2 linked regions of the Macaca fascicularis genome follow. The protein of the gene in region 1 binds, or shares a complex with, the protein of each later gene. Links are inferred from orthologs where the notes say so. Each region holds a gene or a part of one and is shown on either strand. Other genes may lie near its edges.

Region 1 (3,807 bases):
GAAGGACAGACCTACTCATGAAACAAACACAGTGACATATAGTGACACAGAAGCAAATGCCGAATATACTTGCTCCAGATGCTAAGGGACAAGACGGCCAAGGATGGTGGAGTTCATGGAGAAAGCATCATGAGTGTTTTATTTGGCCTGCTGATTTGATCTCTCTAGCACTCCATCAAAGATGGCTACTTCCTAGTGCTGCTTGGCAATTCAGACCCTAAGCATATAACCACACTTTTCTGAAAGGGAGGAGAATTCAAGGTCTGCATTTTCTAAATATGAACATTGTGCATGATGAAGTCTTTCCAAGCAACACCAGTGGTTCCATGTGTGTGAACTTCTGGTTTGAGTGCTAGTGAGATACTTTCTGTAGTTCTAAATTGCCTGATTGTTTGGGGTTGTGGTATTTTCATAAAGATTGATCAGCATGTTCCAATTTCCTCCCCGACAGTCTTCCATTACCAAGTAAAGATTCATTTTTCTGGGACTGAGAGTGAAACCCATACCAACCAGGCCTTTGAGATTTCTCTGTACGGCACCGTGGCTGAGAGTGAGAACATCCCATTCACCCTGTGAGTAGCACACGGGGGCAGTCATCATGGCACTGCTCCCTCCCCTGCCATAACCCTCGGTCTGAGCAGCAGAGGCAGAGCGGGATGCCTAGAAAACAAGTCTCTAGTTTAAAAAATCAGAATTTCAAAATTGAGGTCTTTCCTCTATTTTATATTGAGAAAAAAAAATGCTTTAAATTGGTCATTTGATTTTTACTTACTAGTTATATTTTTTTATTCATCATCTTGTATCTGCTTATTTCTTTTATAAAGCTGCTGTTAAACAATACAATCAAATTATCTCAAAAGGTTTGACATTAAAGAAAATGAGCAATAGTAACAGGAAACCACTCTATAGATATATATATAATGTGTATAGAAAATATAAGTAGTAACAAGTCCATAACAAAGTGTTAGCACTTCTTTTTTTGTTTTTTTGTTTTTTGTTTTTTGTTTTTTTGAGATGGAGTCTTGCTCTGTCACCCACGTTGGAGTGCAGTGGTGTGATCTTAGCTCACTGCAAGCTCCGCCTCCCGAGTTCAAGCAATTCTTCTGCCTCAGCTTCCCGAGTAGCTGGGACTACAGGTGCCCGCCACCATGCCCAGCTAGTTTTTGTATTTTTAGTAGAGACAGGGTCTCACCATGTTGGCCAAGCTGGTCTCAAATTCCTGATCTCAGGTGATCCACCCACCTTGGCCTCCCAAAGCGCTGGGATTACAGGTGTGAGCCACTGTTCCCAGCCTACCCCTTACTATTAATCAAATTATAAAATTAAGGCAACTTGATATTCTTTTACAATTACTAGAAGAACAAATCTTTAAAATAGCCAGTGCAGACAAGGTGGTGAAGCAGAACATGTGAACCTACTGCGCATCGTTCATGGCTAGAACCCTCTAGGTGCAGTAGGCAGTACGTTAATAACTTTCCACAGCTACGAAATGTTATTACATAGAAGGAAGTGATTTTTTTCTAATATTTATCCTAAAGAAATAGTCAACAAACATTTTTAAAAACATCAATTACAGTGGTACATATACTAGCATAAATTAGAAATCCAGTATCCAACATTGAGTCAGTAGTTAAATGAACTGTGGTTTGTCAAGTCAATAAAATTGATCTAGCCTATAAAAACTATAATTCTGGGAAACCAGGAAAACATGGTAAAAAATAGAATATAAAATATAAAGAGAATAAAGAATAGAGAATTGCATGTGTGCTATGATTGTAACTAATGTTCAAGTATCAATACAAATTGAAAAAGAATACATGAAAATGAAAATTATATTTCTGAATACTGACTTCAGGATTTTCTTTTAGAATTGTATTAAATAGTTCATGTCATTAGGATAAATGCTGGAATAGATCAAAGGGATGTGGATATAATTTAAAATACACTAAATGCCATCAACTTTCATTTTGAGTATTTTGTTGGGCATTTTTTGCATTTTTAAAATATCCCCTAAACAATAAAGCTATTTATATTTGGAGAGGAGGAAAAAAAGTGTGGGGGGGCGCAGGGAGAGCTGATCTCTATAACTAACCAAATTTATTGCTTTTTTGTTTAGGCCTGAAGTTTCCACAAATAAGACATACTCCTTCCTAATTTACACAGAAGTAGACATTGGAGAACTACTCATGTTGAAGCTCAAATGGAAGAGCGATTCATACTTCAGCTGGTCAGACTGGTGGAGCAGTCCCGGCTTTGCCATTCAGAAGATCAGAGTAAAAGCCGGAGAGACTCAGAAAAAGTAATTAAATGTATTTTTTTTTCATTCACTTTAGACGCCCACCTGATGTCATGACCTACCGGTTGTATTTCAGGGGCCTTCAAGATTCAGGGAGAGCTTTAGGAAACCTTGTATTTATTACTATATGATGTAGATTTTCTTTAGGAGTATTATTTTATTTTATTATTTTATTTTTTGGGAAAATGACAGTATTTTTGTATTTCATGTAAGGAAAACATAAGCCCTGAATCGCTCACAGTTATTCAGTGAGCGCTGGGATTAGAAGTCAAGAATCTAAGCTTCTCATTTGGCACTGTTTCTTGTGAGCACAAAATAGCTGGGGAACAAACCTCCGAGATGTTACCTGGATAATCAAAGATTCAAACCAACCTCTTCAAGGGGGATGAGATTCCAAGATAATGTCAACCTGTCTATGCAGCCTCACCCATGGGTACCCATAAAATGAACTACATAGAGAACGCTATAGTAGTCATTTGCTTGTATCACCAAAAAGAAAAAGAAAAAGAAAGATCTTGGGGATGGGATGGAAATGTTATAAAGAATCTTTTTTTCACTAGCAAGGTCCAGTTGAAGGCAGATGCTAAGAGATGGCAGGGTTGATCTTTTATCATCTCTTGGTGAAAGCCCAGTGATATAAGGCTGCTCTAGGCTGTCTGCATGCCTGTCTATCTAAATTAACCAGCTTGTTTGGTGAACACTGGGTTAGGCTCTCAAATTACCCTCTGATTCTGATGTGGCCTGAGTGTGACAGTTAATTATTGGGAATATCAAAACAATCACCCAGCACGATCACGTAGTATTTAAACAGTCCTGACAGAACTGTACCTTTGTGAACAGGGCTTTTGATTATTCTACATGGCATAGTCACATCCATTTTCTTCCACAGGGTGATCTTCTGTTCTAGGGAGAAAGTGTCTCACTTGCAAAAAGGAAAGGCACCTGCGGTATTTGTGAAATGCCATGACAAGTCTCTGAATAAGAAGTCAGGCTGGTGAGCATTCTGGGCTAAAGCTGTCCGGGCATCCTGAGCTTGTACCCTAAGGGAGGCAGCTTCATGCATTCTTCTTCACCCTATCACCAGCAGCTTGTCCTGACTCATGTGATCAAAGCCTTCAGTCTTTCTTAGTCCTTCTGCATACGTATCAGATGGGTCTGTTGCTTTTTGCAATACTTCCTCTTTCTTCTTTCTGTTGTTTCTCCCAGCCCTGACCTTCATCCCAGGCACACATTTTAGGTTTTATTTTACTCCCTGAACTACCCCTGAATCTTCACTTCTGCGTTTTTCTCTACTGCGTCTCTGCTGTCTTTGCAAATCCCATCTGCAGAGCATGTAACGCAAGTTTAGTAGTTGCCGTTCTGGCTGTGGGTGCAGTTCTTCCCAGGATGTATTCAGGGAAATGAAAAGGTTTCATTGCATCACCTGTAGCCACATAGTTCTTGATTCTGCAAGCGCCAGCGCACTCCAGGACAGCCAGCCAACAGGACTAGCCCAAGCAACCATCTCAAAA
Region 2 (4,552 bases), about 130 Mb from region 1:
GCTCTAGCCTGCTCCAGCCTCTGCTAGAGCAGAGACAGGTATTCCCAGCCTCAGGTGCTGTCCTAAGCCCAGTAGGTACTGACCCTTGATGGTCACTTCAAGGTGACAGGCACCCACCCAGCATCCGGCCCTTCCCCATCCAAGGCTGCAAGGTAACTTTCCAAGCCAGGGTCTCCCATGGCGGTGCTCATGCCATAGCCAGACAGGCTCCGCTGGCCCCATCCTCTCCACACTTGGTGCCTGTCCCCCCAGCCCCGCACTGCCCCTCCGCGTGTGGCCTCACCCCGACCTGCCTCCCTGTGCCCTCTCATCCTCAGCCCGCCTCCCCTACTATCCTGCCTCCCCCAGGCCCGTCTTTCCTAGGGGTGACTATAGCCTCCCTCCAAGGCCTCTTCCCTCCAGACAGCCGGGAGGCTGACCTGGGGAAAGGCAGGGCGGGCCGGTGTGACCGCTGCAGATGGAGGAATTCCTGTGGCAGAAGTTAAGGGTGAGGATTGGGTGTGGGGGCCCCCAGGCATGTGGTGGGTATCATCTCTGCCTAGCTGTGCTGGTGGGGATCCCCAACCCCCATGAGGGTTGCAGGCCCTGGGGCGTGGTGGCCAAGGTCTGGACCCAGCGCCCACGTGCTGCAGTCCTGCCACTCACAGGCGGTGGGGAGAGGAAACCAAGGGCAAAGCCGGGAACTGAGGAAGCAACCGGGCCGGCGGGGCTGTGCTGGCTGGATTGCCCAAGACACTCTAAATTCATTCTCCAAAGCTGGTGCAGGGGCAGGAGGGGAAGGTACCCGACAGAGTGCTGGCAGGGAGAGGGGTGAGTTGGGTCGGGGTGGGGAGGGGCCGTGGGTCAGGGTCTCCCGGCCCCCATTGCTCCAAGGCCAGCGAGGAGGTTGAGCAGGAGGGCTGTGCCTGCAGTTTCGCAGCTGCCCCGGGGGCCGCCTGCCCCCTTGCCTGGTGGGTCCTGGACTCGGGAGCTCTGCCAGGGTGGGACATTGCACAGGTTGAACTGGCAGCAGGTTGTGGTCACCTGGGTCCCCTCGACCGTCTTGGTGATGGGCTGGCAGTTGTCTGTACACCATGCAGAGTGGGTGGTCAGGAGGCCTGACTCTGGGGAGGGGAGTGGGGAACAGATGCTGAGGATGGGCGGGGCCTCCGAGGTGGCTCTACAGGGCTCTGTTCAGGGCCCCTGGCTTTCCCGCCACCTGGGGGTGCGTGTGCTGCGTGTGCTGCGGCCCCACGCCAACTTACCGGTGTTCCCGTGGGCAATGAGGGTTGTGCAGGCCTGGCCATGTGAGCAGCTCCGCGTCAGGTTGCAGTGCTCGTCCCTGGACAGGGACTGGCAGGTATAGCACCACAGCAGCACTGTGGACAAGGTGGGCTCAGGCCCAGGCCGGGTCCATGTCCCTATCCACCTCCCCATTCTCAGTTGTGCTCCCAAAGCCTAGCCTGGTGAGCCTCCAGCACCCACTGCTCAGACGGGCGGGCCACCCCGACTCGGCCCTGTAAGCCGTGCTGTGTGCGTGAGCCTGTGTGTTTAGGGGCAAGGGATTGCGGCCCAGGCAGGGCGAACTTCCCATCGTCGCTCACCTCCTGTGACAGTGCTGCCCAGGCTCCTGCTGTGGGCATGGAAACCTGGAGGCGAGTCTGACTCAGTCCTGCCTCTGGGAGCACCGGGCCTCACAGAGGAGGGCCTCACAGGGGACACCTTGTGGGTGTGTGGGGCAGGGCTTGTGCTGAGGGCAGGCCTGGGGGCCCTGGGAGTAGGGGTGGGCTGTGTGTGGTGGGCACGCTGGACGCCCTGGCTAGGGAGTGGTCGGCTTGAAGGTTGGATGCGGCGATTAGCTCTGCTTTGTTCTGGGGATGGGAGAGAGCAGAGGGTGGCCCAGCGTGTAGGGGTGTGTTGGACGAGGGGGGGGTGGGCTCTTATTAGCCCCACTCTGCTCTGCTCTAAGCGCTTCCCTGGTTCCCCTGCCTGCAGCAGCCAATCCATCTCTCCCCTGCACAGGACCGGCCCACCCTGCTGCTCTCTCTGCCCCACAAAACTGAACCCTACCCTGTGGCCTCTGTGCTTGCTGTCTCCACCCTGGGCCCCTACTGAGCCCTTCTCTGCCAGGTGAACTCCTGTTTAACCTCTACATCCTGGCACCACTGACCCTCCCAGCTGGTGGCTTCTTCCCCTGTTCCCTACTCTGGAACTGGGTGTCATGGTGAGTGGAAGAAGTGAGGGGTGCACTGAGTGTCCCCCACTCTGCTGGAGGCAAGCTCACAGCGGGACTGTGGCCTGTTGGCTTCCATCGCACAGCCCCGCCCAGAGTGCTCCAGGCAGAGCAGGCAACGGGGCCCTGGGGTTGGGGCAGCCGTACCTCTGCCCCTGCCACCAGGGAGCCTGTTGGTCTCCTCCTCTTCCACCTCGTCCTCATCTTCCTCGTCGTCGTCATCTAGCCTGTGGTCCTCATCCTCGTCCTCTTCCTCCTGCTGTGCTTGCCCTCTTCCTGGCCGTGCAGGGATGCTTGTAAGCCTCAGTTACCAGGTATGGAGGACACCTGCTCTGGGCAAGCATCACGCCCCCAACTCCTTGGCCCTCCCCTGCCACCCTCAGGCCCCAGGGCAGCCTACCTGGTGTGGCCTCCGGCCCCTGCACACCCTGCTCACTGTCCTGCAGCCGAGTGTGCCCTGGCACACTAGTTACAACAGCAGCTGCTGTGGGCTGGCCCTTTATGGTAGCCCCTCCCCGCACCCCACATAAACAGGAGCACAGATGTTTGGGGACTCTTGGGGTCCCAGACCAGCTTCCATCCACACCGCTCTGGGCTGGGGACTCCGGCCTCATCCCCTCCTTCTTCCTAAGCCCCTGCTGGGGTTCCCTGGAGGTCCCCGTGCTCCAGGACTGCACTCACTGGCCCCTCACCGCAGGGTTACCCTTTGCCCCGCACCTGGCTGTCCGCACAGCAAAAGGGCAAGCAGGAGAGCCCTGAGCACCTTCATCTCGCCGACGCTGCTACGTCCCCGACTCCTCGCGCAGCACTCTGGAGCTGCGATAAGTGGGATGAAGGGCATTGCCGTGGGCTTCCCAGTGGCCCCCACCAGCTCCAGCCTCAAACAATGGGCCTCACATGGGTCCCAGCTCCAGGCGCCAGGCCAGGGACTGTTGTTTCCCTCCAGGACCTCTGGGGCTGGAGGGGAAGGAGAAGTCATTGTGGTTGGCCTTGGAGCGTCCCGTGCACCTGTGCCAGCGGTTGGAAGGCGGTGCTGGCCACAGGAGCTGCTGGCCCTGGCCTGCCTTGCTGCTCAGTGCCTCAGCCCTGTAGTGCAGGGCAGGGAGCCTTGCCCTGGATTGGGCCATGCCTGACACCCCCTAACCCCATGTCTGGGCTCCATAGTCACAGGAGCTTGGGGTCACAGACCCTCTATTTGCTGATCACTGGCCAAGCATCTTCATTCCAGAGTCAGCATCACACCCAGGCCCCTTTAAGAGCATTTAAATAAAAACACAGTCAGTGCCCTCAAGCTAAGGCTGTGTGCTCACCTCCTCCTCACCCACACTCAGCAGTGCACTTGCTGGGCCCAAGGCCTCCCCACTATCACCTCGGGTCTTTGCCCCTGCTGTTCCGTCTGCAGTGCTGTTCCTGCTGGTGTCCAGTGGAGAGCTTTCCGGAGCTGTTGGGGGCCCAACCCTTGGCCTTCTGCTGGGAAAGCCATCAGCCCCCACCTGCCTTCTGGCCTTGTGTGAGAGAGAGGCTGCTCTGGGAGAGGCTTGGAAAGCCCAGGTCCCTCCCTGAGGCCACCCTCTCCTCCCAAGCCCCTGCCCAAGCCCCTGGGGGTGGGATGCAGAGGGCAGAGTCTCCTGAGGGTAGCAGAGGGGTGGGGCAGCGGCAGGGGCTGGATGGGAGTCTGGAGCCAGGGTCAAGCCTGGGCGTCTGTGTGCCTTGGCGCTTGGGTCAGGCCCTTCACCTACTGAGGCCTCAGTTTCCCTGACTGTCAATGGGTGGGGTGGGGCTTTCTGGCCGGCCACCTGTAACAGAGGTTGAGTTGGTTCTGGAGTGAGCTGCCTGGGTTTAAGACCCGGTTCCTCCTTCCCCTGGCTCTGGGTCCTGGACGAGCCCCTGGGGTTCCCCAGGCCTCAGCTCCCTCATAGGGTGAGGTGACCATCAAGGGTCAGTACCTGCTGGGCTTAGGACAGCGCCTGAGGCTGGGAATATCTGTCTCTGATGTCTCAGCCACTGAGTCAACCATCCCTCCTTAATTCACCTGAACCTGTCATTCTTCCATTCTTCTCTATCAGCACCCACCCAGCATCCAGCCCTTCCCTGTCCAAGGCTGCAAAGTCACTTTCCAAGCCAGGGTCTCCCATAGCGGTGCTCATGCCACAGCTGGACATGCCCCGCCAGCCCCAAACTCTTCATACGTGGTGCTTGTCCCCCCAGCCCTGCCCCTCCCTGCCCCTCCCGGTGTGACCCCACCCCCACCCGCCTCCCTGCGCCCTCGCCCTGCCTCCCCCACGCCCTGCCTCCCCCACGCCCTGCCTTCCCATCGCCCTGCCTCTCCCACACCTCACC

Evidence for each region.
Region 2: the proteins of LPL (region 1) and GPIHBP1 are in contact, whole or in part, in a crystal structure (PDB 6OAU), measured with the Homo sapiens proteins. The link is inferred for Macaca fascicularis from reciprocal best matches to the Homo sapiens genes LPL and GPIHBP1. Residues at the interface, in NP_000228.1 of Homo sapiens: Tyr367, Gly368, Thr369, Ala371, Glu372, Glu374, Leu403, Met404, Lys406, Lys430, Lys440, Ile443, Cys445, Ser446, Arg447, Glu448, Val463, Lys464, Cys465, His466, Asp467, Ser469; in NP_835466.2 of Homo sapiens: Cys68, Lys69, Ser70, Leu92, Ala94, His95, Gly96, Asn97, Thr98, Glu99, Ser100, Leu103, Thr104, Thr105, Ser107, Trp109, Cys110, Thr111, Asp112, Ile117, Lys119, Val121, Glu122, Thr124, Val126, Met128.

What each region holds. Positions count from the first base shown.
Region 1 is NC_088382.1:23,021,536-23,025,342, forward strand, and holds part of LPL (lipoprotein lipase), read left to right. Parts: intron 1-451; coding exon 452-572; intron 573-2,116; coding exon 2,117-2,299; intron 2,300-3,185; coding exon 3,186-3,290; intron 3,291-3,807. UniProt on the Homo sapiens protein: Key enzyme in triglyceride metabolism.
Region 2 is NC_088382.1:152,863,314-152,867,865, reverse strand, and holds the start of GPIHBP1 (glycosylphosphatidylinositol-anchored high density lipoprotein-binding protein 1), read right to left. Parts: upstream 3,025-4,552; 5' UTR 2,982-3,024; coding exon 2,930-2,981; intron 2,489-2,929; coding exon 2,360-2,488; intron 1,359-2,359; coding exon 1,245-1,358; intron 1,104-1,244; coding exon 844-1,103; 3' UTR 1-843.